Linked DNA regions of Rhinolophus ferrumequinum. The protein of the gene in region 1 interacts with the protein of each later gene in a pairwise test. Links are inferred from orthologs where the notes say so. Each region holds a gene or a part of one and is shown in the gene's direction. Other genes may lie near its edges. The genes, in order: LSMEM2, LSMEM1 and GIMAP5.

Region 1 (10,195 bases):
CTGGGACCCCGACAGAATTCCTGGAACCCCTAAGGGACTCAAGAACTTCACCAAGTCCCAAGACCCTCCCTAGAGCCCCAGGGATCCTCCATAGGCTCACTGACTCCCCAAGAGCCCCCAGAGCTCCACAACCCCTTCCCTCAGAACCTTCAGCCTTGGTTAAGCAGCCCTTGCCCTGTCTGCAGGGGAAGAGCTATACTCGGGGGTGGCTGCAGACCTCATGGGCCGGGACTTCACCATCTTCCGCAGCCTGGGCCCGCGTCCGAGTCTCCGAACAGAACCACATGATTCCCGCTGGCTCAACGGTGAAAGGCTGGTGGGGCTGGTGGGAGAAGGCCCTCATCCTCAACAGGGCAGGGGCTGAGTAAGGTCCATAAAAGAAGTGAGCAATGGGTGCAGCCAGGTTTCACCAAGGGCACCATGTGGCAGGCCTTGTGTTAGGCACTGGGGTGGCAGGGCAGATGAGACATGCCCTCTTTGAGTTCATGGGCCTCCTAACAAATATAAGATCAATTTCAATGGCCATGAGACCAATGAGAAGAGGAGGGGGAAAGGTGGTAGTGGTGGGAAGTTTGGGGAAAAGAATTCATTCTGCTGAGGAGATGTGAGCTAATTCCCAAAGCACAGCAGGATTGAGGGAGGAGCATTCCGGGCAGAGAGAATAACCAGTGCAAAGGCACTGGGGCAGGAACAAGCCGAGGAACAGATTCATACGGGGCTTGGACTGTCAGGGGCCAGGGTATTTATTCTGAGAGTAATGGCACCCAGTAGAGTTCTTGAAACAGGAGTGGGGGCATCTGCTTCCTGCTAGAGAGGAAGACTCTTGAGTGAAGGTAAAACCAGGTACCCCATCTCCCTCCTTTCTTGGCCCACAGGCCTGGGGAACTGTCAGGGGCAAGGTAAGAGGGTTGTACCTGGCAGAAGCTCCCTCCGCCTGTGTGCCCAAGTAGCCATGGTCTCTGCTGCCCTCTCGTGGCTGCTTCATGACTCGCAGGCCCTGAACCTTTGGAGTCTGTTCACGTGGACGGCCGTCTGAACTTGATTCTAGAGTTTGTGTAGTCGTTGCTGCCTGTGGGGCTGTTGTGAGAGGAAGAGGAGGCAGCACCTGGGTCTCCTGTGGAGTGGGGGTGGGGAGGAGGCCAGGACCTCGCTGACACCACGCCTCCTGCTGTGGCCAGAGCCCAAGTTCGTCAAGGTCTTTTGGATTCCTGAGAGTGAGAACCCAGATGATGACAAGATCTACTTCTTCTTCCGTGAGTTGGCAGTGGAGGCTGCCCCGGCACTGGGACGCCTGTCCGTGTCCCGTGTTGGCCAGATCTGCCGGGTGAGGAGACCTTGGCCAGCATCTGTTGACTCCCGCCCTGCCCCTTTGCCCTCAGAGGACTCGCCCTCATCCCCTCCTATTGACCCCGCAGAATGATGTGGGTGGGCAGCGCAGCCTGGTCAACAAGTGGACCACTTTCCTGAAGGCGCGGCTGGTGTGCTCCGTGCCAGGCGTGGCGGGCGACACGCACTTCGACCAGCTCCGTGAGTGCGAGGAGTGGGGAGTGGAGTTGGGGGAGAGAGTGCAGGGGCACAGACCCTGGAGCCTGGCTGGCCTGTGGGGCTGTGGGCTCTCCCCCAACTAGGTCCTTTCCCTGCAGAGGATGTGTTCCTGCTGTCCTCCAGGGACCGCTGGACCCCACTGCTCTACGCTATCTTCTCCACTTCCAGGTGAGGGTTGGGAGGTAGCCGGGTGGGGCCGACCGGGCTCTGCTGGGCCCTTCACTCCACTCACATCTTCGCCTGCAGTGGCATCTTCCAGGGCTCCGCAGTGTGCGTGTACAGCATGAATGATGTGCGCCGGGCCTTCCTTGGACCCTTTGCACACAAGGAGGGGCCCATGCACCAGTGGGTGTCCTACCAGGGTCGTGTCCCCTACCCCCGGCCGGGCATGGTACGTAGCCCAGGGAACCCCCATCACAACCCACTGAAAGCCTCAGGGGTAGAGAACTTGGCCTGGGGTCTTTTTGATAAATATGGTTTCTTCTTTTTGCTATGGGTGGAAGAAACGTCACCTTCATCAGACAGGACCCCAGGGGAAGGCCACATTTCCTCCTCAGACTCCCAAGGGCAAGGCTGGGTCTCTGTCCATGACACCCACCCTCATATATATACACTCCGGGTTCCCAGAGTTTTGCGGATGGCTGCACACCAGGCGCTCATCCCCACATCCCTGTCTTGCCTCCTTCCTATCCCCCAGTGTCCCAGCAAGACCTTTGGCACCTTCAGTTCCACCAAGGATTTTCCTGATGATGTCATCCAGTTTGCCCGGAACCACCCCCTCATGTACAATTCAGTTCTGCCTGTGGGGGGGCACCCTCTCTTCCTACAAGTGGGTGCCGGGTACACCTTCACCCAGATCACTGCAGACCGCGTAGCAGCAGCTGACGGACACTACGACGTCCTCTTCATTGGCACAGGTCAGGGTCCTGCCAGAACCACCAGCCAGACCCAGTCTAGGCTCTTTGGCTTGTTAACGGAAGCTCCCCATGTTCAGTCCTCTCTCCAGGCCCTTGCTGGGGCTGTGCCCCCATCTCCTTCTGGATGCTGCTCTGATTGTTCCAACCCACATTCTCCACGGACCCAACCATGTTGAGGGTAGAGGCCTCGGAGATGAAGAGACCCCTGGCCTTAGCTGTCAGGGAACACAAGGAGTCATTCACCCCTCCTCATTCCTGCAGATGCTGGCACCGTGCTGAAGGTGATCTCCGTCCCCAAGAGCAGCCGGCCTAATGCTGAGGGGCTGCTCCTGGAGGAGCTGCAGGTGTTTGAGGTGAGACCTAATCCCCCCTCCCCTTCCTGTCACCTGGGCTTCCTCCACTCCACTTAGCCCTGATTCCAGTGCCCCTTCTCTCTCAGGACTCTGCTGCTGTCACCAGCATGCAAATCTCTTCCAAGAGGGTAAGTGATCAGAAGTCTTAGGGGTGCCATGGACCAAGCGGGTGCCCAGGCGCCCGTACCTCCATGCTTCCCTTGGTAGTTTGAAGCCTGGGGTTTGAGTATAGGCTCTGCCTTCACTAGACTGTGTGACCTGAGACCTCAGTGTTCCCATCTGTCAAGTGGGGAAGGGATCCCTGACCGATGGGAGGTGGGCACAGGGCCGCCTTCGGTCACCCCGGAGCCCCTCGTGCCCCCTAGCACCAGCTGTACGTAGCCTCACGGAGCGCAGTGGCCCAGATCCCGTTGCAACGCTGCGCTGCCCACGGCCGCGCCTGCGCCGAATGTTGCCTGGCGCGTGACCCCTACTGCGCTTGGGACGGGGCCGCGTGCACACGCTTCCAGCCCAGTGGCAAGAGGTGGGCAGGGTTGTGGCGGGCCGCTGGGAGGGAGTCCATGGCTAAAAGAAGAGGGGCTCAGGGAAGCTCCAATGTTCCCCCCAGGCGATTCCGGAGGCAAGACATAAAGAACGGCGACCCCAGAACGCTGTGCTCTGGGGGTGAGTGCTCCAGCTGCCCCCATCTCTCAGTCCTTGAAGACGCCCCACCCTGCCCCGCTTGGCCTGTATCTGACATTCATTCCCTTTGCCCCCAGACTCGTCACATCCCGCATTGCTGGAGCGGAAGGTGTTAGGTGTGGAGGGCGGCAGCGCCTTCCTGGAGTGTGAGCCTCGCTCGCTGCAGGCGCATGTGGAGTGGACCTTCCATCGCGCAGGGGAGACGGCCGGCGTCCCGGTGAGCCTGGTGGTGGTGGTGGGGAACCTCCCAACCATGCCCTCGTCGGGCTCTTTACATCCAGTAGAGGCTCCGCCCTGAATAATGAGGCCCTGGCCTTCTCCCCACATCTAGATGAGGTCTAGCTCCACCTAGTGCGGCTCTGCCAACCCTGATCTCTTTCTTCCTATTTCACCTGCACTCCACAACCTGGTGAGGCCTGTTCCGGCTAATTAGGCAACACACAAACCACCACCACCACCACCACCACCACCACCACCCCCCCCCACACACACACACCACACACACACACACACACACACACACACACACACACACACACACACACACACACACACACACACGCCGGCGCGCCGCGTGGCCGTCGCAGACCCTTGCCTCTACTGTCTCACGGTGGCGCCCGGGAGCGGGGTTCCCGACCTTACCGCCGCGCCTCACTCTGGCCGGGCCTACAGGTGCCGGCGGAGGAGCGCACCGAGCGCACTACGCGGGGGCTGCTGTTGCGCGGCCTGCGACGCGGGGACTCAGGCGCGTACCTGTGTACAGCAGTGGAGCAGGGCTTTTCGCAGCCGCTGCGTCGCCTGGTGCTGCACGTACTGAGTGCTGCGCAGGCAGAAAGGCTGGCCCGGACCGAGGAGGCTGCGCCCGTAGTGCCCCCGGGCCCCAAGCTCTGGTACCGGGACTTCCTACAGCTGGTGGAGCCGGGTGGCGGTGGCGCAAGCTCCCTGCGAATGTGTCGACCGCAGCCCGCCCCGCGCGCACAGCTTCCTGAGTCGCAGAGAAAGGGTCGCAACCGGCGGACACACGCCCCAGAGCCGCGCGCTGAGCGGGGGCCACGTAGCGCAGCGCACTGGTGACTCGGCAGTCCCCACGCCGGGGACTGGGGAGATGAGACGACTGGCGGGAGAGGGGCGGACAGACCCTGGGAAAAGACAGCTAGGGAGCGGGCACACAGCGGCCCCCGGCCAACCGAGACACCGCCGGCCAGGCTCGGGCCGTGGGGCAGACGCGCCAGCTTATTTATTAACAGTGGATAACCCTTGAATGTAGCCCGGGGAGGGGCAGCTCAGGCCGGGCACAGGGTCCGGCTGGTCGGGAGAAGGCAAAGAATCAGGGCTCCAGAGCAACGACCTGGACGGGAGAGGTGCCAGGAGTCCCCACCCTGGGAGAAGGACCGCCTCCTCGGGCAATGAGCAGAAAGCTGTGAACGGGCTGGGCTGGGGGGGCGGGGGGGCAGGCCGACTGTACTAATGCAATAAACTCATTATCAGCTGAAGCTGGAACGGCCCCGGCGGACAGCCGCTGTCCTGGGCTCGCTGTGCGGCCTCGGTTACCTGCCTACGCAGTTTCAGGGCCTCGGTGTCTTCTGAAGACGCTGTGGTGAGGATTAAAGGTGGCTACCATGTGACTGAGTGGATGCTGCAGGGCCTGTGGGGATACCGACAAGCACAGGAAATTCTGAGTAATATAATTTCTGGACTAAGTGCTATGAATAAAATTGGGTGATATGGAAAAGAATGTGAGCAGAAGGCCTCCCTGAGCGGGTGACATTTGAGCTAAATGGCAAGGAGCCAGCCATGGGAATATCTGGGAGCAGAGCATTCCCAGAGGGAAGAGCCAGTGCAGAGTTCCTGAGGTGGGCACTAGCTTGCTGTGTTTGAGGAACGTCAAGGAGGCCAGTATAATACACCGGAGTAATGGATTTGGGGTGTTACAAGAGTCAGAGACCCACTCTTTCACTTTGTCCTATTTGGGAAGGAGGGACACGGGTCTAACAATAGAGGGTGGGCCTAAGCTGGCCCACTTCCTCCATTCAAGGGTAAGTGGTCCATGCATCCTCACACGACGTCTGTGACCTGTGTGCCCCTGTGGAGAGGAGGGCAGATCAAAACTGCATTGTGCCAAGTGCTTCAGACGCGTGGTTGTATTTCCATTCTCACACACACGATGCCAGGGAGGAACCATTGTTGTTCCGATTTACAGATGAGAAAACAGGTTAGAGAAGGGGCAATCCTTTATACAAGGTTGTAGGCTTAATAATAGAAGTTGTCATTCTTCAGCCTAGGTCCACCCGCTGACCAGCAGGGTACATGCATATGTGGGGTATTTGCCCCCTTTTAGGGCTCTCTGAACCCTGGTGGCACTGGGCTCAGGTTGTCCATCACCCTCAATCCCTGATGCTAACAGGTCAAACAGTGGGTGCCTATCCCACCTTTGCTTGGATGACCCAGCTGTGGGTAGGCGTTTTGGAGGGTAGAGGAGTGGAGATGCACAGAGCCCCCTTGCATGTCTTGACTGCCACGTGGGTTATTGCTGGAGGTGCCACTGACGTGGTTCATCTGGATGAAGACACAGGCCCATGTATATATGGGAGTCGTAGGGTTCCCCAGGAAAGCCCTTGGGCACATGCACTAGTAGAGGTGTGCACTTGCACAGGTCAATAGTCCACACTGGCCATGTGGGTCACTCTGCCCCTTTCCATGGCTGAGAGCTGTCCCCTCTAAATATAGCCCCGTGGGCTGAGCGCAGGCCTATTTCAGGCTCAGGCTGGGAGGTGGCCAGGCCTTCCTCAGGCTCACAGAGGAGCCACTGCTGCCTCCACCGTCCTGCTACTGGGTGCTGACATCGGGCTCCGTGACTGCCCACCCCATCATGCCTGAGGAGACCCAAGAAGGTAGGAGGTGACTGAAGGAGGGCAAAGCCCCAAAATTATGACCACGGAGAAACCTACCCCTGCTCCACTGACCCCGCGTCCTTAACTAGTCGTCAGTCACAATGTCCCAGCGCAAGTCATGGGACCTGCCGCTGTGCATGGAGGAAGGCTTACCATGCCTGGAACCCCTTCTCATCTCAGCTTCTGCCTGTTTCCCCTGCTAGGGACAGCAAGAGCGGTTGAGGTAGCTACCCAGTTGGGAGAGGGTGAACTAAAGGCTGTGCCTAAGTGGGTGTGGGTGGGGCAGCTGCCTGGCAGGTTCAGCTCTTACTTCAGAGGAAGCTGCGATTGTGGATGAGCAGTGGTTCCAGGAAGCATTTGGGCGCATGGCCCAGGGAGGGGCGAGGCTTCTGACTTCCTCCAACTTGGGCCTAAGTGTCCCCAACTGGCTAAACGTTGGGATCCCTTTGTTGGCCAGAATAACCGCAAGTAAAGACTTTGGTGGCCACTCACCTAACTGTTTCACCACATACAAGAAGCATGGAGGCTCAGAGGGGTCAGAGCAGGGACCCAAGAAGCTCCAGATCCAGATGCTGGCCAGGGTACAGGACCAGCTGCTCCACAGTTCCAGCCTGGCCTAGCTGGGAAACTCCCCCCACCACATTTTCAATTTTATATTGGATGGGAAGGCGGGGAAACCCTGGGTGTGTAGGGGGTGTTACCTCCTTTTGGGGTCTTAACAATGACATTTACTGTGTGTTGTCCCTGGTAACAAACAGAATCTGAGTTCAATTTAGAAAGTGTGGGAAGAGCACAACCAAGTGCAAAGTGGGAATTTAATATGACCCTCAATGCACCACCCAGACGTAACTGGCAGCATTTGTTGTTTTACTTACTTTCAAGCGCGTCAGGGGTCATTTTCAGGCAAATCATGAAGGTTGAGTTATTGTTCAGAAAGCGATAGACCCAGAAAATCTACTCACCCTTGCCCCTATAAGATGTCCCTTCAATGCTCCCCACTTTGTGATCTATTTTCCAGCTGGACATCTGGGGGTCGTAAGGAGCCAAGATTAAAAAAAAAAAAATCAAGTCAAAGAACCACCAGAAGAAAATATAATTTTTAGAAATAATAAACACTTTGATGGATCTAAAAATAAGTAAATATCATAGGAAAAGTGACTGTGTAGAGGCTTTGAACAGATAATTAGGAAGCCACATACATATTGATCAGCCCCCCCTCTAGGCAGAGATCAAATCAAATGGGTCAAAAAGGCCTTTCTCAGTTCCCAGCTTAGCAAATATGTGTGTGCATATGTATGTATATATGTTTTTTTCGATGGAGAGGCTTAATGGTGGCAATGTTGTATCCTTTGGGGGGCTGCGGGTAGCCATGGTGGCAGCCAATTTGAGGATAGCTTTAAAAAAGTCCCTGCTTTTTGATCCAGTAATTCTGCTTCTGGAATCTGTCCTTATTAACTGTTAGGAAATTGAAAGACCTCTTCTTACTCAATGATGCACATCCTTTTCTAGGAATTATTGATTTCAAAAGAGAACTGGAAACAACCTAAATGCCCAGGCGGCCTCAGAGGGATGCCTGAAAGAAGACCTCAGAGGCCTGTGAAAGTCTGATAACAAAGGCAGGTCTCCTGTCTTGATTTTGAGTGAAAACAGCAGGGTTCAGAGCAGTCAGCAGAATCACACTGAGTATGTTAAAGAAAGAGCTAAGGCCAGGAAGGAGAGGCACCACCAGCTCATATGCTGCTGCTTCTGCTGGGGACCAGGAGAATGTCAGGCTGTGGGTCTGGCCCGATGGCTAATTTCCAGGGTCTACAGGGAAAACTGACAGCAGAAGAGGCAGGAATGAACTTCATGCACTATGGGTTTATTCCTCCAAGGTTGATAAAACTCTCCTCTAGAAATGAGTAGGCAGAGGAATACTTGAAAAGTCTTTGAGGTGCTTGGAAGGAAGCAAACGTGACCAAGTCAAGTGCACCACCTACTACTGTGGGTGAAAACAGACCTATGGGGTTCCAGGTTCGTCCTGGCTCCAAAATCACTGGCCATTCCTGAGTTGGTTTTAGATTAGGAGTCCCCCACCTCTTTGTCCTGTCCCCATCTTCCCCGAGTCCCTACTGCCTCTGGAAGCCATCTAGAAGGGAGGGGGTGACCCACTGGCTGAATCAGCCTCGCGGTGCCCCACAGACACCATGGCACCAATGCTGAGCCCGAAGAACAGGGCATCACTGGCTCCCAACCACATGCAGGAGGTGCGCCTGCACCGAGTGGAGTCCATCAGCGACCTACACAGCGGAGGTAAGGGGACAGGGGAACGGGATGGATGGATTGGGCAAAGAGGAAAACAGGTGCACCCACTGCCCTCCTGATGCCCCATTCACCCTGTAGGCTCACTGCACCCCTACCTAGCCGAGGAGGCTCAGCCATGGGATGAGCTGCTGGGCATCCTGCCACCGTCGCTGTGCGCCCAGCCTGGCTGCAGCCCTTTGCACAGCCGAGGGGGCTTCCTGCTGCTGCTCGCACTGCTGGTGTTCACCTGCCTGGCACTCGCCATCCTGGCTGTCTACCTGAGCGGTATGGAGGCGCAAGAAGCCAGTGGGAACCAAGGGCAAGGAAGTGGGACCAGGAGGCCTTTCTGTACGGTTGGGAGGAGCAACTGCAGAGACCGAGGCAGCGAAGTGTGGGGTGGGGGTTCTCGGCCCCTGACGCTGGGCTGAGTGGAAGGGGGACCATGGGGTGGCATGGGGTCTGCTAACCCCCCATCTTATCCTGCCTGCCTGTCCGCAGTGCTGCAGAGTGAATCCCTACGCATGCTGGCACACACACTACGCACGCAGGAGGAGATGCTACTCAAACTCCGGCTGGCCAGCCTCAGCCAGTTGCGGAGGCTCAACTCCAGTGAGGCCCGAGCACCCAGTTGAGATGCTACTTGGACCTGGGGTCTGGGGGTGTGTGTGGGGGGAATAAAGTGGCCGTTAGCAGGTTTCTCCTCTCCCACTGCTGCTCCACACTACTTTCTTGGTGAGGGTTTTGTATAGGAGCCTCATCTGGCCCCATAGCTGCCCGCCTCTCCTGGCTTCTTCAGGCCAGGCCTAACCAAAGCTTCAGGTGCCAAGACCCTGCTATGGGTGGCCCAAGGTCAAAGGAAGTGATGCCAGCCTCCTGGCTCCTCCTGTGACCTCTCAGCATTCTCTGGCTCCCTCAGCAGATTCAGAAGTCTAGAAATAACCAGCCCCATCCCAGACACCCAAGCTGCCAGGCCTCCCAGTGGGGATCCAGCCTCAGCTCTCAAGACAGGCTGGGCTCTGAGGAGGAGGGCCATCTGGGGAGAGAATCTTGGAGGGTAAAGATGAACTGAAGCTGGGGAGACCCAGCTGGGCCCAAGCCTGGGGTGATGGATGGGAGGGAGGGCAGGCAGAAAACACCCAGAAGCCAGGTCCACAGAAAGCTGAGTTTTCAGTTTACTTATCTCTAATCTTTAAAAATCAGCACATAAATCCATTCTGGATAGCCTCATCTACCCACCTGTGGTGGCATCTGTGCCACCCCCCCCAAAGAAGTGGTTCATCCCAGAGGAGCAAGGCCTGAGAAAGGAGAAAAAGGAAGAGACAACCCTCCTACTGCCTGGCCCATAGCTGTGGGACAGGCACACACCTGGCCAGGCCTGAGACAGGGCTAAAAGAGGCCGTAGGGCTGAGTGCAGGGGCAAAGGGCCAGGATGCCAAGTGGCCTGGCCTCCAGCCACCTACCCCCATGTCTTTTTTTGGTTTTGTCATTAAAAAAATTAAAGCGACAATTTTGGAATGGACCAGTT
Region 2 (10,350 bases), on another chromosome or scaffold:
AACTGAGTTAGTACCAGACTCTTTACACATGAGGAAACTGAAGGGCTCAGAGAGTGTGTGTCATTGAAAAGTGATTCATATCATCTCACTTAACATTTCAAAATTCCTTAGTTACATCATTTTTTTTGTATTGAGGTAAAATTTACTAACAGAAAATACACTTGGAAAGTGCACAGTTCAGTGGCATTTTGTACATTCGCAGTGTTGCACAACCATCATCTTCATCTGGTTCCAAAACATTTTCATCTCCTCAAAAGGAAGCTTCTGTCCATTGAGTGTTCGTTTTCCCAGCTGCTGGCATCCACTGTGCCCTTTCTGGCTCTGGATTTCTCTGCTCTGGTTATTTCATATAAGTGGAATCGTACAGCTTGTGACCTTTTGTGTCTGGCTCTTTCACCTCGCGTCACTTTGCTGAGGTTTGTGAGGTTGGATGTTACTCCATTGCCTGAGTACGTTCCACGTGGGGCGACACCGTGGTTCCCCTTCAGCAGATGCTGACACTCGGCTTGTTGCCACTTTTTGTCCCTCGTGAATGGTGCTGCTGTGAACATTTGTGTACAAGTTCTTGTTAGAGGATCTGTGTTCAGAGCTGTTAGGTGTGTACTTAGGAGTAGACTTGCTGGGTCATACTAATTCTCAGTGTAGCTTTCTAAGGAATTACCAAACTTTTTTACAGCGGCTGCACCCTCTGTACGTTCTCACCAGCAGTATATGAGGGTGCCTACATTCTTACCAACACTTGTTGTTCTCTCTTTCTTGCTTTAAATTATAGCCCTCATAATAGGTATGAAGGGCTTAATGTATTTTTTTATAGAATCTTTATAAATTTAATCATTCTTATGACCATGTCATTGATTGTTGGGTTTTTAATAACTATTAATATTTTCACATACTTTTCTCTTCTGGACTATTTTTTGAAACAAATCCTTGCATGGGAATACAGGGCTGGAATTATGACTTTTTGATACATAGTTAAATTACCTTCCAAAGTTATTTTTGTCATTTCTAATTGTTCCCAGCAATGAGAAAGCGTGTGGCTATTACACACGTATTTGACAGCCTAAGTTTTCTAATTTAAAAAATTGTTTGAGTATTAAAATGGAACTTCATATTTTTGTTATTGATAGCATGGTTGGATTTTTTTTTTCACATTAGTTCATGATTTGACTTTTCCTTGATCAGATGCAATGTTGATGTACCTTTTTTTTTCAATTTTTTTCACTGGAATGTTCTTACTATAGATAGCCGTTAGCTATTACATGTGTTAAGTTTCCCCCTTGTCCTTGATCTTTTTGTATGTGTTTTACAAACGTTTAAAATACTTATAGTGTTGAATTAGTTCATTTCTCCCCTTTGTGATTTTTATTTACATTATTTTAAATCTTACGAGACTCTTAAGCCTGTGTGGCTCACATATATTTTCCTTTTCTTCAATTCAGCATTTATATAATTCGGCAGCCTTCAAAGCTCGAACCAAAGCTCGAAGCAAATGTCGCGATAAGAGAGCAGATGTTGGAGAATTCTTCTAGATTTTCAGCATTTGAAGACTACTTTCTACGTTCTGTTTTTTTATTTGTAACTTCTAATGTATTTAAACTCTGGAGACAGTTTTTATCTCGTCAACATAGATAGCTTTTGTAGCAGGGGTTATATTACTTATAATTTAATGTATAGTATTGCAAATGGTAAGTTCTGATTGAGTATTCTCTGTAAATAGAATCAGTAAACATGAATAAAGTGTTTGTAATGTTTGGTCATTTTCTATTTATGAAGAGAGTAAACATATGGTATTTCACGGTAAGAAAACTATTAGCCAAGGTTAAATACCTTATACTGTGGTTGTCAGATATGTTGATTATAATGCAGATACTACAAGCTATTTAAGATCTTAGACAAACGAGTTCTGGATACAGTTTGGGGAGCTAGTTCTTCTAGAAAAGCTGCTATGTTTTTAATTTTAAATGGAACCTAATAATTTTGTCACTGGGATCAACAAAGGAAATTCAATTATACCGTAGACCTCACAGCTACACTTCAAGGCCGTTCAGTCCAGCTTTGGGAGTTCAGGATGAATTAGGACAGCCAGGACAGCTGCGCACCTTCACCTCTGAGGGCAGTAACACTAATTTCATCTGTTGTGTAAGCCTGTGCTCTTTATTTTGAAATAAAGATCTTTTCACACTGAAAGTGCTTCTTTTCTAATAGAAGAAACATCATTTATGGGTTTGAGGTTCAGAGTGCAAAATGACCAAGCTGGGGAGGGAAGGGGCAAGGAGGGAGACAAAACTTACTTTGTATGTTTGGAAACCTGAAAATAGGTGAAAAAATACAGCAGTGAATCATTGGGGTTCTGGTTACTGACTTAAGACTATTGCTGCTTAATTGTCACTATGAGTTAGATTTCACTCTATGACAAGTTGCAGGCATTGTGACTGCATTAAGAATTTATTATTAAGCTTATATTAAAACGACATTGCACAAAGCAACGTCTGCAGTATAGAGTTCATATGCTTGCTTCTTTGATATCAGTGCAGAATATGGTGACGAGGTGTGAGGAATAAAAGGACGCGCACACTAGAGAAGAACCGGAGTCACCCAAGGCACTTTCCCAAGGCAGCGTCCCTCCCACAGCCCCGCAGCTGAGCGTCTGACGTGCCTCTTGCTGGAAATGATTGGCCCGTGGAGTTGCCCTTCCTAGTGGGGTGTGAGTCCCACCCTCGGGTGCAGTGCAAGGAAAAGCATGAAATCTAGGGCTGGGGGTTTTGCATGGTGGGTTCCCAGTAGGTTAGAACCATGGAAAGATAGAAGCAGTGTTTTCCTCTAAATGTTCCATTTCATGTATGCATCTTGTTAAATAAAAATGACTTTTTATTACAGTTGCTCACTAGCGTATACATAGGTTCATGGTACTTCCAGGCTGAAAAACAGCAGCTCCCTGCTCCATCCTTTCCCGTTCCTCCTCATACCAGACCACCATTCAACCTTAGTGTTTACCTAGCAACTGGTTTCTGGTTTCCAAGTAAGAGGCTCCAACAGCTGCTGCTTAGTTTATTTTTTCCGACCTGACAAGTTCCTATTCAATAGGTGAAGGTGTTTGCCTTCTTACTTCATCTTCCCAATTTTTTTTCTTTTTGGTTGTTCAATCCACATTGTGACTTGCGTTGTAGTGACCATGTTTCTGTGTTCATTCCTGAACTAGAGTTTCCTGTGCTTACATTTCCATACTCAACACCACAGTCAGCAGGGAGTCAGCTTTGTTTTATGGTCACATCACTGATCCTTCCCAGAGTCCCAAACATGTCTGTGGAATGCTAGTCTATTTTCCACATGGTCACAGCCCAGCAGAACGCCCGTTTCAGTGTAGACTGCCCTCATCTGAGTATGTACAGCTGTTTCCCGACTTCATCGTCCCTGGATTGGTTTTCCTTTTGGGTTGGATTTCACACTTCTGGCCTCGTGGCTTCAGTGTTAGATTCCTTTCTTGTTCAAGTGGGACTTCCTTCAGCAACTTCTGGAAATGGTGCATGGGGAGGTCAGGTATTTTGAGTCTACCGTATTTGCCCGAAAAGAAGACCTAGCCGGACAATCAGCTCATGCGTCTTTTGGAGCAAAAATTAATATGACCCAGATATTATATTTATTTTATTATAAAGACCCTGTGTTATATCAGGTCTTACATTAATTTTTGCTCCAAAAGATACATAAGAGCTGATTGTCCGGCTAGGTCTTATTTTCGGGGAAACATGGTACATGTTTGAAAGGCAGTTTGGGTTGGGATATAAAATTCTAGGGAGAAAATCCAGAATTTTGAAGACCTTGCTCTACTGTCTATCAAGTGTTATAATATCTGGTGCAATTCTATTTCTGATTCTTTGGTTTGTTTTGCTCTTAAGAGTTGTTCTAAAATTACGTGACTCTGTGCTTTGGTGGGCTCTGGCAAGCTGGAAAGCTCAGTTCTTGGTCCTGGGCACACCCCCTCCTACACACACACTTTTCATTCTGGCAATTCCATGAGGTGCTAGAGCTGCTGGATGGAGCCTATGGCCTTATTTCTTCCTCCTTTTTCTTTCTTGGAGATTTCTCTAAGATGATTTTTCACCCTTTCTATTGCATTTTATTTGGGGCTAACCTGCAATCACCTGCCTGTATTTAGCTCCATATTTCACGGCTACCTCCAACTCCTGCCTGAAGTCTGCAGGGTCAGTCACCTCACTCACTCACCACCCTCCCGAGTCTGCTAAGACAGGTAGGTCCCGACCACCATCTCCTTTCCTTAGTCAATGCCTTGGTTACAGTCCTCTTGCGTATTGGTTTCCTCCAGTTTTCATTCTTGTAGTTGTGTCATCTTTATTCCTATTCTGCCTTCGTACTGGGGTTTGAAGAAGAAAAGGTGAAGGTGTGTTAACGTGCATATTAGATTTCTAGATAGGTAGTTGTTGGGGTTCCTGGGGTTCCCATGTATCACAATGCTGGAGTTTTCTTGAAAGTAGTAAAACGGTATATGGTGGACCAGTTCATTCCTTGCATCGTGCTGTATTAAAGGAATTTAAAATGGTCCCTGCTTACTATACTCTTTATTTTGAGGCTTAAGCATTAATTTTGGGACAATTCATAGCTGTGACGAGTCTTTGATGCCGTTTACAGAATTTTCTGGGAGTTGAATCTAGATACAGTGAGATACAATATTCGAAAGAAAAGGCAAGAAATACGTGAAAATGTGCCCAAATTAAAACAGTTCATGTAAGACTACCTCTTCTCGCGACCTGTAATAACACTTCTTGATGTGGCCTTTCAGGTACATAATAGGTAAAACCAGGTAGGTTATCGTGCTTTGCTCTTAATTGGTTCTCCAGACATCTAACTGCCCATAAAAATCTCAGCCCCCTCACTGGTGTAAAAGATGGTTGAATTCAGACTTGCGTGTGAGGAACTGCGTGTCTCCATTCTCCATCCCTGAGGAGGGAGTAATACTTCACGGGGTTCCCAGTTTATAGGAAAGAGCAAAACAGTAAGTGCTTAAAATTATTTAGCCAGTTATTTCTGGCTGAGACTATTATTTCTTCAAAAGATAGATTGTTTAAGACAGTTCAGGAAGTTTGGAGATAATTTTTAAAACAGCATGATTAATAGCTAACATTTTCATTTTTCAAGAAATTTGGCATAGCTTTGTCATGTATAATGTGCTTTTGAGAAGACACTAGATACATGGTCTTCATTGAATTGATCCTCTAGTATAGAGGCAGCTTAAGAAAATGATATCCATTTTCCCCCAAAGGAGAGTGAGGTCCAAACTAAATATAGATGTAAGGGAGTTTTGTGCAGCACGTTTTTCAATTGACCTGAAATACGGTTCAGGGATGACCAATGTCTGTCTTGTCACTGCAGTGGGAGGGAGGATGAGGGAAGGACTACGTATCAGGTTACAGCCCACCCCTTAGGCTCCTGGGGGGGTGGGTAGGTCGTCCTGCTGTCTGGGACCAGGGTGTGTGTGTGGGATGGCTGTTCTCCTTCTCACTGTAGTTTCTTGAACGCACACCAGAGGGCACAAGCTGCTTGGCATATGTGTGAGGGACCCACAGAAGAGAAAGGCTGACATTCCTGAGAAGGGAGAATGCATGAAAACTCAGAACAAAGGCTTTGGAAAGGCAAGGAAGTTGAGACAAAGTGCTGCCGTGCGTCTGTAGCCATGCGGTCTCCCACTCTCCATCTTTTTTTGCAGCTCCCGGAAGCCTTAGGGGTCCTCTGACCTGCCATCATCCTAGTTAGAATGCCAGGACCTTATTCTGTCCCTGTTCACTGTAGTCTGCCGGTTGGTCTGGAGTCCTGTGCAAGCTAGTTGGCAGCTCCAGCTGGGTGGCAGCTCCAGCCTGCTACCGGGTATTTATATGTGGGGCATTCCGTGGCTGGAAGTATGCCAGCTCACACAGCCGCATCGCCCAGATAAGGAAGTAACTGCAGTCCAGTAAGAATCGTGTCAGTTACCAGCTGTACCTGGGGTGGTGGGTTTTTTTTTTTCTTTTTAAAGTGTAGTTTCAATAATATATTTGCTAGAAATCTTAGACATTATGGAAAAAAGTCCGTATTTGGAATCTTACACTGCTTGGCTAAATGAACACTAAATACCGTTTCATGCTGGGGTGTATGGACCTTGCAGGAACGCCCGAGCGCTGAAGGAAGGCAAAGAAAGAACTACAGAATTAGTAGACAGTTTTATTGTAGTTGCTTCTGAATAATTAGTGTGGTTTTTTTTTTGGTTTTGGTTTTGTTTTCTGGTAACCTAGCAGTCAAAGCTCACATTTTTGTAAGTAATCTGCATGCTATTACTCTCCTGAGACTGATTTATGACTCTTGAGGCTGGCATGTTCTTTGATGCATGTGCTGTGTGCTTTTAACTTTTGATAGAAATGATTTACACTTGATTTTAAAAATTACTTCCTGAATGATGAAGAGGCACTGACTCTGAAACGGAATTAAAGAACAAATCACCATGACCCACTCCATAAAGCGTCCTATTAGCTTTGAATTAAGTCCTATTACAACAATTCTAATACTGTGGCAAGCAATACTAGCTAGTGTGTGTTATTCCTGTGGTTTGATACCAAGGACCTATGGGGAAAAAAGAGCAAAGCAATTTTTCATCGACAATTGTCTTTATTTGTCAGAATATTTATCTGTAGGTAGTCAAAGAATTCCTAAATAACAAAAAGAATAAGCTGTTACTGTGTTTCCCCAAAAATAAGACCTACCCAGAAAATAAGCCGTAGCATGATTTTGCAGGATGCTCTTAATATAGAATAAGCCCTAATGCATCTTTTGGAGCAAAAATTAATATAAGACCCGGTCTTATTTTTGGGGAAATACATTAGGGATTATTTTGTATTACGAGCATCCTGAAAAATCATGCTAGGGCTTATTTTCCGGTTAGGTCTTATTTTCGGGTAAACACGGTAGCATTGATCTAAGCCAGAGGAAGATGAAATTACTTACGTTTCAGCTCATGGTATTAGAAAGGATCCCATGAAAAAGGATACTGCTTTGGTCTTATTTAATGAGCAAATTTGCGCACGGAGTCGGGAAGGAGGGTTGAGTGAGTGCGGAGCAGAATTTAGAACATTCTGGCTTCTCCGGCCCTGCTGGTTGTTCCCAGACGGCCTCAGATGGAGAGGCCAAAGATAGCAACAACTGGGTGTCAAACAGCTGTGGGTCCTGGGTGTAGGGCCATGTGACCTTGTATCCATTTACTCAGCGTCATTTGCAGGAACTTGGTGGCCACACACCCCCAACTCGGTTTTCTCTGCTGGCTCTTAATTTTGTATTTGCATGTTGCAGTTAATTTAAAAAATACACTGAAGTAGTATCTGTCTACCTCGTGACGTTTTCTTTTGGAACACTTCACAGCTTATTCTCAGTTGTGTTAGGGCTTTTGGATTGCGTGTTGCTTTGAGTCGGTAGCGAGGCCGATAATTTGGAGATTTTTATTAGGTGCATGTCTCGGTTTTGTGGTTATAATTTTCTAGCCAGTCCTGTACTTTGTAAACATCGATTAAGCCTCAGCATGAGATTTAAGCAAGAGTAATTACATTCCTACAGGGGAAGCTAAGGCTCAGGATATTAAGTCACATCCAGAAATGAGCCCTGCCTCTGTCACCAAGCCTAAAATAGAAGCCGTGTTTGGAATGACGATACTGCGGTGACTCACCCAACCTCATTCCTCATCAAATATTAGCATTTGGGATAAAAAAGTATGAAGAGGAGGTGATAAAGGGTAAAACCTTTCTAGAAAAATAGTTTAGAAATCTGTGACCCTGCCATCAGTCAACACTGGGTTTTATCTGTAAAAGGATAAGATTTGATTGATCTCTAAGGCCCCTTTAGTCTATATGCTGCTACTTTTTTTTTTCTGTCACTTCACGTCACTCCCTGAGGAATGCTTCATGAAGTATATTTATATTTAGAATTATGTTTAGAATATTTAAAGTGCTTCAGTCGTATCTTACCTAAAACTCTCAGGGAATTTTGTGTTTTTGTCAATTAAAATTTCAGGATAACTGAAACACCCTGTTTTAGTTTGTAACTTTTATTGGGAAAAAAAATTTAGTCCAGCACTGCAGCTACCAGATAAATGTATAATCTTGGGCGTTTACCTACTGAGCGTCATTTCCTTCATTTGTGGAAAGCATGAGGGCTAGACTGGAACACTTATAAAATTCTTTCCAGATTAAAACAATCCCGTCCTACTCACTCTTAGACTCATTGTATGAAAAGAGGAAGCTCTGATGGTAACTGGAATTTGCCTTCCTGGACCCTTCTTTTCACGTGAGTAAAAGGCCACAAGTTCTCTGTCATGCTGGAGAGATGTCTTAAAATAAAACTTTTTAATCCATTCAGGCTTTCCAGTGCTGCTTCAAGTTGTGCTGTCATTAGAGAATATCACTTTAAATGTAAACCTCAATTTAAAAATGATTTATTATGGAAGTGACCTCAGTCTACGGAAACTCAAGAGGGCAGACACCTGAGAAGTCCTGGAGTCTCGCCCCCCACAGCTGCAGGATTCCTCCTTGTGGCATCTAAGCTTGTTCAGATCTTGTCTTGAGGACAGCCAGCATCTACTGGCTGAAGGACACATTTGAAGGGAGAGACTCATATGTTATACTGAAGAAGTATAAAAATTACAGCTTCGTATTAAAGCCTCATGTAGTAACAAGGGTTTGCCGTAATGTTCTCTTCTTCTCTCAGCATCTTTATGGCCACAGGCTGACTGGTTAAATGGCATCTTTCTATCTGGTCATACTGTCTTTTGCACAAAAGACTTGAGACATCTCACCAGGATGTGAACACTGTAACAAAGGAGAAATATTTAAAAACCAATTACAAAATAAAAAGGAGGCCCAGGAAAGTGTAGGCAGAATTGAGAAATCTGAGGAGCAGGAAAGAGCATATGCAGATAGGGAGGGTATAGGCATTGCACAATTTTTAAAATTGGGCCACGCACTGGACTCCGAGCTTCCTGGCAAGCAAAGCAGAAAGGACAAAGTTGTCCCGGAAAGGAAATGTTCTCTTCTGGACAGGACTTCGGTTGGAAACAGTCTATGTGGCTGGTTCCGTATGTGCGTGTCCCGTTTCCCATGGGTGGTGATTCTTGGGAAGCCTCGAGTTTAACACCGGTGTACTCTTCCAGGGACAATGAATCGTTCTTCCCAGGACGCTGGCTCGCAGGGCATTCTCGGAGACGGGAAGCTTTATGCTGTGGATTCCATCAACGACTTACACAGACTGAACCTCTGTCCTGCCGGATCTCAACGCCTGTTCCGTACGTGTGCTCTCCGAGGGCCAGCGGCCCGCAGCTTCTAAGCTGCCTACAACCAGCGGATGCTTATCTGCCCTTGAGGGTGTGGGGAATGGGGGCGGGGCCGGGGGGGGGGAATAACAGTTTGGCCCCGAAAGTGCTCATTCGCCAATATCTGCTTTGGTTCTCTGAATAGAGAACCAAAATGCCCACAGGCTCTGGGCTTCTGGGGCTCCGAAGTACGATTTGAACTCTTGTCTTCAAAAGTTCTTGAAAGTCCCGGTGGGGTTTCTCTCCCTGGAAAGCAGATGAGGCGGCAGAGCTGGTCTCCCAGAGTCTTGCTCTTCCCGCTGGGCAGCTGTTTGCCTTCAAGTGACCACATCCAAGTCACCGATGATGCCCACGTCCCTAGAGCGATCTCACTTCATAGCGAGTCGCTGGGAATATAAATGTTCCACACTTTTTTGATCAAGTTTTAAAAACAATCATTAAAATGTTGTTGGGCAAAAAAGTCAACTTTGGTTTCTACTAACAAATGACAATTGCCCCAATTAAATGGCTAGGAAAAAAAGGGGTGGGGGAGAGCAAAACAAAACTTCTGCTAAATACTAAATGTGTGTCTTGTCCCCTAAATGTTGTAAATGAGTTCTGTCCCTTCTTAAACGCTGACATTCAATCCCAGGTGTTGCCAATGTGACATTTGTTTCACGTGCACTCTAAAGTCTTAATGTCCCAGTTTTGTATCTATTATTCTCCTTCTGACCTTGCTTTTCTCTTGATTTGAAGGTATTCGGATTTTCACCTGTTTCTTTATTGCAGTCAGTCTCAATTAAAGTAGGTGTTTGGGTGCCAGCTTATGTTGTTGCTTTGATCAGGAAGCAAAAGCTATTCAGGGGGTGACATAGGGTGTCTGGGACGTAAGCCACCCATCTCTCTATAATCAAATAGCACAGCGTGTGGGACTGACGCCAAGTAGGAGAGAATATGGAAATAACTTAAGTCTCTCAACTGCCCCAAGTTTCTGTATTTCTGATTTGATCGAATGTGGGTGTTATTAGGCAGGT
Region 3 (10,909 bases), on another chromosome or scaffold:
GAGCGGGAGAAGGAAAGAGCTGATCTCATCTAATCTCTCAACAACCCTGAGAGAGACAACTCGATATCATTATTCCCGTTTTCGCAAAAAGGTTTCATGTCGCGTCCCGCGCAACACAGGCAGTGAGGAAACGAGAAGAGGCGGCTTTGGGTTACGTTTCTAAGAAAGAAACAAACAAAGACTTAATGTAGTTAAATCTCTCCGAAGGCCAGGGGGCCTCTCAGTCTCAAAGGACTGGAGCCCCTAATCAGACTGACTGGAGGTTTTTATTGACACTCATACAAGTAACACTGTTTCTTACACGGTCTGTGAGACTCATACATCATAGCAGAAAAATGTTTATCCCAATCACCCTTTGTCTGCAAACAGCCAGAGCACAAGGTCCCATGATGTCTTAATTACGGTATGTACCTGTGGGGACAGAGCCCCAAAAAGCAGTTTCCAGGCTCTCAGCCTCACATAGAAAGGTGCTGGCTCAGGTAGTAAATGGCCATGGACTGTGATCAAATGGCCATCAGCTGTGGCTAGTTGGCCGTCAGCTGTAACCAGTGAGCCATTGGCCACGAATATAACTGCCGTGGCTACGCTAGCAAAAAATGGGGGCTAGCAAGGAGATGGTGGCTGAGCCTGCAAGCGGCACAATGAGGGTTGAGAATTGTGTTGCTCCTGGTTCCGGTGTCTCCAACCCAGCCGCCAGCGAGAGTATAGTGGTGTGACTCCCCTACCTATGGCTCCGTGGGTGTTCCTTTTTGGCCTAGCCATATCCTGCGTTCTTATGTGGGGAGCGGGAGCTGAGACCCTGCAGGCCGTCCCGCATGACAGTACCCTCTCAGGGTCAAGTCTCTCATATTGTAACAGTTCCGTTGAGACAAGTGGAGAGAACTGATCTTTATTGTCTTCATGACTTCTCTCACAACAGGTGCGAAAGAGGAGCCAGAGCTAGCAATGGCTTTTCCTAGGCAGGGGGAAGGGGAGGCAAGGCCCTTCCCATATTTTTCTAAGGCATCACGTCGGCGGGGGCTCAACTCAGTTCCACCTGGCTTGGGTTGTATGTCCCGTGAGATATCTTACCCGTCTTTGCCTGCAAACCATCTTTTGGAGACCAGACAGAGAGACATAAGGTGTAAACACAATGATGGAACAGAGTCCCAGAAAGGCACACTATCACAGACTCTTCTTTCTTTAAGGAAAGACACGGGCGGGGGTGGAGGGACAGTTGGCTAGGTTGTTGTGTGACTACAGTTTAACACTTAGATTAAGCAACCCCCATGGCTGCACAGCTGGCGATGGCGGGGCTGCGAGACAAACCCAGATGTCTGGGATTCCAGACAGCCCCTCTTCTCCCGTCTACTGCCCCCTCCTGCCCTTCCTCCCTGGGATGGACTCTGGGAGAAGTATGGCAGAGGCCCCTGAAGCCGTCAAGTAGGGACAGCTGTGCAAGGTAAGGACGAGCAGGGATAACGTCTGGTGAGGTCAAGTGTGGAATTGCAAAGGGGCATCCTCTAGAGAAACGCTCACCGGGTGCTGAGCATCCACAGGTGCACGTGGTGAAGCCACAGGGAAAGAAATAGAAGGTGAAGATGCCGGGAGTGCAGGCAGCTCCGACCAGATGAGCTCAGGCAGGGTTAGGGGGAAAAGGCGCAGGTGAAGGCACTATTGTTCTCCTTTGTTCAGAGGGCTCCCGGAGGCCCAGGTAAGCAGGCTGCGGTGCTTTAAGGTTTGGAAGCTGACAAGTCACGTGTCCTCCAGGTTCCGAAGACGCCACGCAGGGCCTGCAGGAGCCCAGGCTGCGGCTCATCCTGGTGGGGAGGACAGGAGCCGGGAAGAGCGCCACCGGGAACAGCATCCTGGGCCAGAGGCGCTTCCTCTCCAGGCTCGGAGCCACCTCGGTGACCAGAACCTGCGAGGTGGGGAGCTGCAGGTGGGGCCGGTGGCACGTGGAAGTCATGGACACCCCGGACCTTTTCAGCTCCCAGGTCCCCAACACAGACCCGGGCTTCGAGGAGCGCAGCCGCTGCTACCTGCTGTCGGCGCCGGGGCCGCACGTGCTGCTGCTGGTGACCCAGCTGGGCCGCTTCACGGCGCAGGACCTGCAGGCGGTGAGCGCGCTCAAGGAGCTGTTCGACGACGCGGTGCTGGCGCGCACCGTCGTGCTCTTCACGCGCAAGGAGGACCTGGCGGGGGCCTCGCTGCAGGACTTCGTGCGCGACACCGACAACCGCGCGCTGCGGGCGCTCGTGGCCGAGTGCGGGGGCCGCGTGTGCGCCTTCAACAACCGCGCGGAGGGCTGGGCGCTGGAGGCCCAGGTGCGGGAGCTGCGGGAGCTGGTGGAGCCCCTGGTGCGGTACCACCAGGGCGCCCCCTACTGCAACGACGTGTACCGCCTGGCGCAGGAGCTGGCTGCGGCGAGCCCGGAGGAGCGGCAGCGCCGGGTGGCCGAGAGCCTGGCGTGCCGCGCGCGGGCCCGGGCGCGGCGTGGGCTGCTTTCCCGGCTGCGCGCGTGGGTGGCGGCGAGGAGGTGGCGCGTGTCCGCGCTGCTGGGCGCAATGGTCCTGCTCTACCTGGTGCTCTCCAGGCTCTGGCCTGAGGCCATTGATGAGTTAGGTCCTGAGTGACAGCCAAGGGGACTTTGACCCATCGATGTATAAGCGCATTCATCCCTGGTGTGTGAGCTTCCTTGGCCCGCGGGCTCTCCTTGCCTCTCTCACCTGGACATAACCTAACAAGGACAGAGTGCTGAGAGATCCCACCTCTCCCCAACACGTTGCCCTGTGACCTGGCCCTCCCTGAGTTCTCCCCTTACTGAAGCCAAACAACTGTTGTTGCTTCTGCCCGTTTCCCCCTGACCTCAGGCCGCCCTTCCCTGTCATTGAATTGTCTTGTCTCCTAAGAGCAGATGAGCATTTGTCCTCTCACCCCTGGTTTCCCCACGGGACCAAGGGAGAAAGCCAACACAGAGCCTCAGTCCATACCCTTTTGTTTGAATTAAATGAATAAATGCACGGGGCAATCACACTGTTAAAGGAAATCACTATTTGTAGATGTTTGTTCATCTGCCTTATATGCCCATTGAACAGAGCCTGTCATTCCTAACTCCATCTGCAAAAACCACACACCCAAATACAGACAGACACACACATACACACCTGGGGGGTGGAGGGTGTTCATCAGAAGATAGCACTCTGAAGAACAGTCCACCTGTCCCAGCAGGAGACATCTCCCCCTGCGTCCCCATTCAGACCCCTCCAGCAGCCTGCTGCTCCCCAGGCTCTGAACCCAGGACAGGACCAACAGTCCAAGTTTTAAAAATTAAGGGAATCTGCTTTGAAAGGAACTGTGGAGCGGATTCGGAATTAAAAGTTCATTGCAGAGGAATCCTGTAGCTTCAGACAGAGTTTTAATGACATAGAACACTGAACACTACCAACTTTGCAAAGGCTCAAAGTTCACTTGTTAAGTTTCACTTTTGACTATAGATACACTTTTAAAAGAAATGTCTGACTTTAAAAAGTCCTTAAAATGTCTTAGGAGTCCCAATACATCTTTCCTCCCTTGAAAAATAGTGAAAGGGCTGGTAGTTTTTAGTAGACAAAGGATTCCTGGCAATGGAAAAATAATCATTTTTATTTTGAGCATTTAAAGAAATGTAGACACTATCGTAGGCCGTTAGGCTGCTAAAATAAAAAAGTGAAGCAAAGCAAAGAAATACCACAGACTAGGTGGCTTCTAAACAACAGCAATGGATTTTTCACAGTTCTGGAATTTGGAAGTCCAAAGTCAGGGTGCCGGCATAGTCGGGTTCTGGGGAAGGCCCTCTTGGGGTTGCAGACTGATAACTTCTGGCTGTGTCCTTACATGGTGGAAGGGATGAGCCAGGTCTCTGGGGCCTCTTTTGTAAGGGCACTGATCCCAATCATGAGGGACCTGTCCTCTAGTCACCTCCCAGTGGTGCCATCTCCTAATACCATCCTCTTGGGCATTAGGTTTGCATCGTAGGAATGGCGGGGAGACACAGACATTGAGACCAGAGCAGACACTGACCCTCCTTAATACTTTTCTAGTTCTCACACCTGAGTAGATCTGGCCCTTTGAGGTCCTTGTAGGTTTTTCTCATCATCAAAGAAATAGACATCAGGGTCCTACATGTTAACTTCTGATACATCAGTTTTTTTTACTAGCGCAATGATTTACTACCAGAAAGATAAATGTAGCTATAATGAAAGTAACAAAGTTTCCAATTTTCTAGCATGTATGGTTCATGTCTTTACAAGATGAAGTAGGATTTTGGGAAAATCACAAGTAATGTGTGCCAATTGGTTACCTACCTGGGATTTTATGCAAAAAAATAATAATAATCCAGCTCCTCTCTGCTCCTGGAGAAGAGAGGGCGCAGCAGGGGCGTAGGCAGAAAGCTGCAGAGCCCTGAGGTTAGGTAGGTATGGCTGTGCTGTCCGATTTTCTGGGGGATGAGCCAGTTCACAAAAGTTCTTGAATGCTACACCATGAGAAAACCAGATGCCATCCTTAGGTTGTGTAAGAAAAAAAATTCCTTGTTTCTATTTCTGAATGTGACAGAACACTTTTATGAAAGGAAGTCATTGTCTTTATACCAGCCACACAGAGAAGGAAGGGCCCACACATATGTGCTTTGATACCACGTGGGGTTGGGCCCAGGGAGGCTCAGCGCGGGCTGCTGGGTGGGGATGGGCTGCAGGCAGAGGGCCTGGGGGCCACGGTGGCTGTTGCAGGGAGTTGGACTCTGTGAAGGCCGGCTGGAAAAAAGACCATTCTTTTTTTTTTTAAATTAATTTATTTATTTTTTAAATTTATTGGGGTTACAATTGTTAGTAAAATTACATAGATTTCAGGTGTGCAATTCTGTATCACATCATCTATAAATTACATTATGTGTCCACCATCCAGAGTCAGTTTTCCTTCCATCACCACATATTTGATCCCCCTTACCCTCATCTCCCACCCCCCAACCCCCTTACACTCTGGTAACCACTAAATTATGTTCCCCAGATTAATTTTCAAACCCCGTGGCCATCTTGTGGTTACCGATTGTTTTCTAATCCCCTCACCTTTCCCCTTACCCCCACCCCCCCGCCCATCTAGCAACCCTCCGTTTTTCCTCTTTGTCTCCAAAACTGTTTCTGATTAGATCATTCACTTACTCTTTTCTTTAGATTCCACATATAAGTGAGATCATATGGTACTTATCTTTCTCTGAAAAAGACCATTCTTAATTCCAGTTTTTAGCATCCTCGGCAGCCATGCTGGGTCCACGCAGGGGCTCAGCCAGAGAGAGTTTCCTCTGGTGACCTGAGGGGCTCAGGGAGGGGCCAGGGTTGGGGTGACAAATGGTTCTTAATATATTATGATGAAAACAACCTCATGAGGTATGAAGAATAATTATCATTCACTTGCTTTGATTTGAAGACGGAAGGAATCTACTGAGGTTAAATCCTGATGGCACAAGATGGCAAAATCAAAAGTGCAACTTCTTTGTTTGCCAAGCATTTGCACCAACCCAAGCTTTCCATCCATTATAAACTGCTTCTTTACTCACCCGTTTATCCATGTTATACCACATATATTTCCTCAAATATCATACCTTAATAATTCTTTGAGAATATGGTCACAACCCAGTTACCCTCTAAAACAAAATACTTTGCTCAGTTCCAAAAGAAAATGGCATTGTTTAAAATATTTTCCTTTTTCCAAATGAAGACATTTTCTGAAGTTGACAGAGTACAATGTCACCAACACGGTCCTGTTAAATTAACAGAATTCCAAGAGCATTTTGAATTGTACCTTCCTAAGCCCACGCGCGCAGGTCTCACTTTGGCTAAGATTCTATGTTAGGTCTAGAAAGCTTTGAGGGCCTCAGAGATCAAGTTCTACTGTGAAGAAACAACGTAGCAAAACAAGATTGAAAAATCTCCAGCTGCTGAGGGGAGCGGCTGGTGCCTCCCCCTGCGCTCCCCGCAACCCTCAAGGACTTTTTGTGCCACAGGGGGCTTTTCTGAACCTGGGAATCCGTCGCCACCTTCGTAGCCTTCTGTTCCAAATAGCGCTTATTTAAACAAGTCATAAAAAAGGAAATGGGAGGGGGCAAGACAAAGACAGTCTCTGACAGGAAGCGTCCCACTAAGGGAACAGCACGCAGAGCTCACTTAGTCTCTGGGTCCTGTTTGCAGCACTTTCGCCGTCCACCCGGAGGCAGGACTGCGTGGGGCGCTGGGCGTGCTCCGTACTCCCCTTTCTTCTTCTTTGCCTGGAGCCGTTCCCTGGAACATTCGACCTCTCAGGCCACCGGGACCAACTTAACAGCCGGGCTTCCCGCTGCGCCGGCCGCCTGCGCTCACCGCCAGCACCCCACCCCCCGTGCATACCTTGCCAAAGCTTCCAAGCACCGCGAGCCGCAGCGCCCTGCTAGGTAAGAGGACCCTGGGGACTGTCCCAGCGTCATGGGGGTCTGAGAGCCCACGGCCTAGTCACAGCCTCCGATTGCTGGTGTGATCACACACAGGTCCCCCAACTTCTGGGTTCGCCCGTCGGTGAAATGGGGCGATGATGGCGAGCGCTATGGGGAACAGGAGATTTATAGTGGGGGGAGAAACAGGCACGGGAACCACTCGCCCCAAATCCGCAACCCATCACATTCCACAGCGCCACAGGCTTTTCTGTCTAATTGCCTACTGCTTAGCCCATTGGGTCTTCATGAGACTCACAGGGTTTCAGAAAGCTGGACTAATAATCTCCTCCCATTTGACAGATGAGAAAACTGAACCTCCCCAGTTGCCCCAGGTAGTTGGGGGCATGCTTCTCAATATACTTGCTTAACTTCTTAACCCCTCCCACAATGAGCCACGTTTTCCTGCAAGAGACCCCTGAGCAGACATTGTCTTAGGACCCCACCTCCTGGAAACCTCATTCTCCCCCAAGTACCCTCCGCCTTCCTCTGACACATTGTAGGACTCGACTCTATGGCAAACAGCCTCATGTTCAGGGCACATGGGAACAATCCCTCTGCCTGCTAAATCTTATGTGAGAGACATCACAAGAACTAAATTACAAAACAGGCGACTCTAATACCGGGAAATATAGGGACTGCGGCAAATGAGCAAAGAAGGTACTTAGAAACGAGTCAGACAAGAAATAGTTTGGTCTTTCCTTAAACAGCATGAGAAAGCCTATTTTCTCTCGCTTTGATAAAATCATGATAAAATCAGGCTCATAATTTTAAAATCGGAAGGTGCATTCTGTTCATTTCCTTCAACCCCCCCGGCTGAACTAAGCCCTCCTCCGGTCCCCATCAGATGCTCTTATACTTTCTGCCTGCACACTGTGCCTGGTGCTCCCTCATGATACCTGGTCCCATTTTGGAGATTAGTAGAATTTTCCTTTTCGAGAAGAAATCTGCCTCCATTCTGGATTCTCCCACTTTTGCCTACTCGGAGATTGGCACATATCACAATCCTTCAGGTCTGCGGTACTCCCCCTCGTCCCCCCCAGTCTTTTCCTAGGCTTTCCTCAGTCCTGTTAATATTTTGTCTATGCCAGGATCAGTTTAGCATCTCCATCAATATACTTTCTGACTCGTCCCTGGACACTTGGTTATTTGTTGATATCTGCCTGAAAACCTCTTCCTCAGCGGGACACATGTGCCGCCTGCAGCCCGACCCGCTCAGAAACACCACTGTACTGCATCTCGGCTAATGTAACCTGAGTTTGATTGACTTTCTGGGACAGGCACATCCCTCTATTTGGGTCACAATCATACTCGAGTCAGTAAAACCACCAGATTGTTTTCAACTGAAATGCTTCTATGCAGAACAACTCCTGCCCCCTGCAATTTTCTCTTTGAATAATCTTTTCTTGGAAAAACACGCATTCAAGAATTTGCAGTACAATTCTCTGTGTTGTTTTAGGGCTGACTTCCATCCGGTCAACCATCAGTTTATGTTCTGACCACAGATGGCAACATTGTAGGTGGTGGTCCCAGAAGTTGGGGACTTATTTGAAATAATCTTTCCCCTGTAGACTCAAGGAGAATATGCAGGCAAAAAGAGCCACATTTTAATCTTAACTCTGTGGCCACTGTGTGACCTTGGGTAGGTCATTTGATGTTCAGTTTCCTAACATTTTAATCGAAATTTTAAGACCTGTCTTCATTCCATCACAGCAAATTTAGAGAACAATTGAAATAATGGACATAAAAGAACTTAGAAAATTATAAATGGCAGCACAGAGGACTCTTGCAATAATAAAGTTCATCACCAACGTCATCATCTTTACCTCATCAATAGATTGATTCCAACCCCAGGAAAAGGCATTTAGGTAGAAAAGGTGTCAGAGAATTTGAGCATTTTTAGCAAGAGCCAGAGTATGATTTCCTGGAGTCAAAGACAGAATATGGAAGATGGTGGTGAGGAAGATGCTGTTTTCTGGGCTCAAGAAAAGAAAGGAAGGATGGGCTGGAAGGGGGGAAAAAAGGAAAAAGGAAAGGAAGGAAGGAAGTTGTCTTAGTATATTCTGATAATGTGAAAATGGATGGTTTTCCTAAGGAGGGCCCCCCCAAAAAAAATCCACTGAATGAATAGAAAAACGTGCATACATTATTTCTATATAGCAGAAGCAACCTGAATAGCAAACACACTATGAAAACCATTCTGAATTCGATGTAATCAGTAAAATGCAAGTTTAAACCAATTAAGACATCCTCATTTAAGCCCATAAGGGTGAGTAAAAAAATTTAGTCTAATATCAGCAAATGCAAGTAAAGATTTTGGGAATTGTCACACATGGCTGGTGTCAGCATATGGTGTCAGCACAATCTTCTTAAAGTCATATCTGGCACTATCTAGTTGGATGGAAGCTGTGTAAACCAGATAAATTGTAGTACAGGAGATACACAGTATGTGGGCATTATTTTGCAGCATTGTTTGTAGAAGCAAGGGTATATTTTGAGATAGCTTGAATGTTCGTTAATAAATAATTGGATAAAATGTTACACAAATAATGTCATTTATGTAAAAATTTTAAATCCAAAAACAGCACTAGATGTTATCTATACGAGGAAACGTGTTTGTAGAAGTGTAAATACACAAATGAGAATGATACATAAAAACCTCAGGATACTGATTGTTTCTGAAGGACAGAAGGAGGGAGAATGAGAGTGGGGAGTTGAAAAAAAAATCAATGGAATTCTATGTGTAATGTTTTAACTTTCAAACAGAATAGCTGCAGTAAAAATGCCAAAATTCTTACATTTCTGCATTGCAAATGGTGGGTTTTGTTTTATTACTGTGTAATAAGTTTGTTTCATAACTGCATAATATTTAAAATGGAGTAAGTCAAATACCTCATCTTAGTTATAGCTGCATGTCACGTGCTTGCCTTTTCTACCGTGTTTCCCCGAAAATAAGACCCAGCTGGACCATCAGCTCTAATGCGTCTTTTGGAGCAAAAATTAATATAAGACCTGGTCTTATTATAATACAATATAAGAATGGGTATAATATAATATAATATGATAATATAATATAGTATAATATAATAAATATAATACTGGGTCTTATATTAATTTTTGCTTCAAAAGACGTATTAGAGCTGATAGTCTGGCTAGGTCCTATTTTCCAGGAAACACGGTAACACCAAGAAGAGTGACACAATATTACGCCTCATTTGAGTAAAACATTTGTGCCAGTAGATGCCAATGGTTGTGCCAATTTCCAGTTAACCTACTGGGAGACAAACCTGGTGATTATTGGGAGACCAGGACCTCAGAGCCAGCCAGGAAAAACATCTGGTTTAACACTGAGCAGGAAATGAGTTTCTCTTGAATTTGTCCTGAATGTTGATTCTTTCTCTTCAATCTTGGCACCACCTTCTCTCCACCAACTGCTCGGGGACTAACAATAAACTTGCTAGAACAGAGGAAAAAAATCACTTTGCTGTACATGACATTCGCTTGTTTGAAGTAGTGGGAATTCCTGGTCCCAGAAACTCTTTGTGCTAGACGGACATTCCAGTGGCCAAGAGCAAAGTACAATGTATCTTCCAATGAGAAGGTGGTATCAGGGACAAAGATTCCTTCAAGGACTGACATGAGGGAAAGTACTGCCCATAGCACATTTGCCTACTTTGATTCCAAAATAATAATAATAATAATAATAATAATAATAATAATAATAATAAACATTCCACTCCTCATTCCATAACAGAATGCTTACTTCATTTCATGCCTTTTCAAGTTGGAGGGAGATAATCAACTGATTTGTTTTAAAACATTCCCTGCTTTCCTGTAAGCTGAAAACAAAAAACACAGTGCATTGTGGTAATATAAACTAGCATCATCTGGTTTGCTTAAAGTTATTTATAGACGTTTGAAAGTATGTGACTTAGGAAACTAGCAATGGAAATGGTTTATTGAAGGAGAGAATTATTCTTATGGGTCTGAACTGGAGGTGTCCTCGGGCTTTACCAACTCCCATATGGACACTTGCTTTTTATTCCTTTCCTGTTTTCATTCCAGAAGACAATGGAAGGGCTTCAGAAGAGCAGCTATGGAACTATGACTGAAGGTAAGGAAACCTCAAAGTTCTCAAAAACTCCAGGCACAAGGGGAGAGTCACTATTCTCTCTCTACCTGTCCCTCACCTCAAACACAGTGACAGAAACCCAGTTATTTTAAACTAAAGAAGAACAAAGCAACTGTTATTTGTTCTTTACTTTCCCCATTATCATCATACCACTGATGTGTGGGAATGAAACTTCAAGTCAGAAGTTGGAGGACTGGGTACTGAATTGTGAATATGGTTTCTTTCCTTGTCTGCTCTCAGTTGGAAAAAAAAATGGGAAGGCCCCCGAGAGAAAACATCCCAGAACACTTAAGGAAAGG

The links.
Region 2: the proteins of LSMEM2 (region 1) and LSMEM1 interact in binary tests that used the Homo sapiens proteins (3 or more experiments, as listed by UniProt). The two-hybrid records come from large-scale screens. The link is inferred for Rhinolophus ferrumequinum from reciprocal best matches to the Homo sapiens genes LSMEM2 and LSMEM1.
Region 3: the proteins of LSMEM2 (region 1) and GIMAP5 interact in binary tests that used the Homo sapiens proteins (3 or more experiments, as listed by UniProt). The two-hybrid records come from large-scale screens. The link is inferred for Rhinolophus ferrumequinum from reciprocal best matches to the Homo sapiens genes LSMEM2 and GIMAP5.

The regions. Positions count from the first base shown.
Region 1 is NC_046300.1:6,302,318-6,312,512, reverse strand, and holds LSMEM2 (leucine-rich single-pass membrane protein 2), read left to right. Parts: upstream 1-5,078; 5' UTR 5,079-6,365; coding exon 6,366-6,387; intron 6,388-6,425; exon of another isoform or gene 6,426-8,003; intron 8,004-8,568; coding exon 8,569-8,679; intron 8,680-8,769; coding exon 8,770-9,098; 3' UTR 9,099-9,168; coding exon of another isoform or gene 9,169-9,302; 3' UTR 9,303-9,676; downstream 9,677-10,195. Other genes in the region: SEMA3B (semaphorin-3B), read left to right, coding at 186-305, 1,179-1,324, 1,416-1,527, 1,644-1,713, 1,792-1,936, 2,243-2,462, 2,724-2,815, 2,902-2,943 and 4 more.
Region 2 is NC_046303.1:4,684,742-4,695,091, reverse strand, and holds the start of LSMEM1 (leucine-rich single-pass membrane protein 1), read left to right. Parts: upstream 1-6,127; 5' UTR 6,128-6,301; intron 6,302-8,248; 5' UTR 8,249-8,276; coding exon 8,277-8,316; intron 8,317-8,393; exon of another isoform or gene 8,394-9,107; intron 9,108-9,176; exon of another isoform or gene 9,177-9,178; coding exon 9,179-9,310; intron 9,311-10,350. Other genes in the region: IFRD1 (interferon-related developmental regulator 1), read left to right, coding at 1,440-1,529.
Region 3 is NC_046309.1:4,008,329-4,019,237, reverse strand, and holds the start of GIMAP5 (GTPase IMAP family member 5), read left to right. Parts: upstream 1-6,118; 5' UTR 6,119-6,442; intron 6,443-10,543; exon of another isoform or gene 10,544-10,546; 5' UTR 10,547-10,549; coding exon 10,550-10,592; intron 10,593-10,909. Other genes in the region: GIMAP1 (GTPase IMAP family member 1), read left to right, coding at 1,750-2,615. UniProt on the Homo sapiens protein: Plays a role in T lymphocyte development and the optimal generation of CD4/CD8 double-positive thymocytes. Inhibitor of GSK3A, possibly by sequestering GSK3A in cytoplasmic vesicles and impairing its translocation to the nucleus.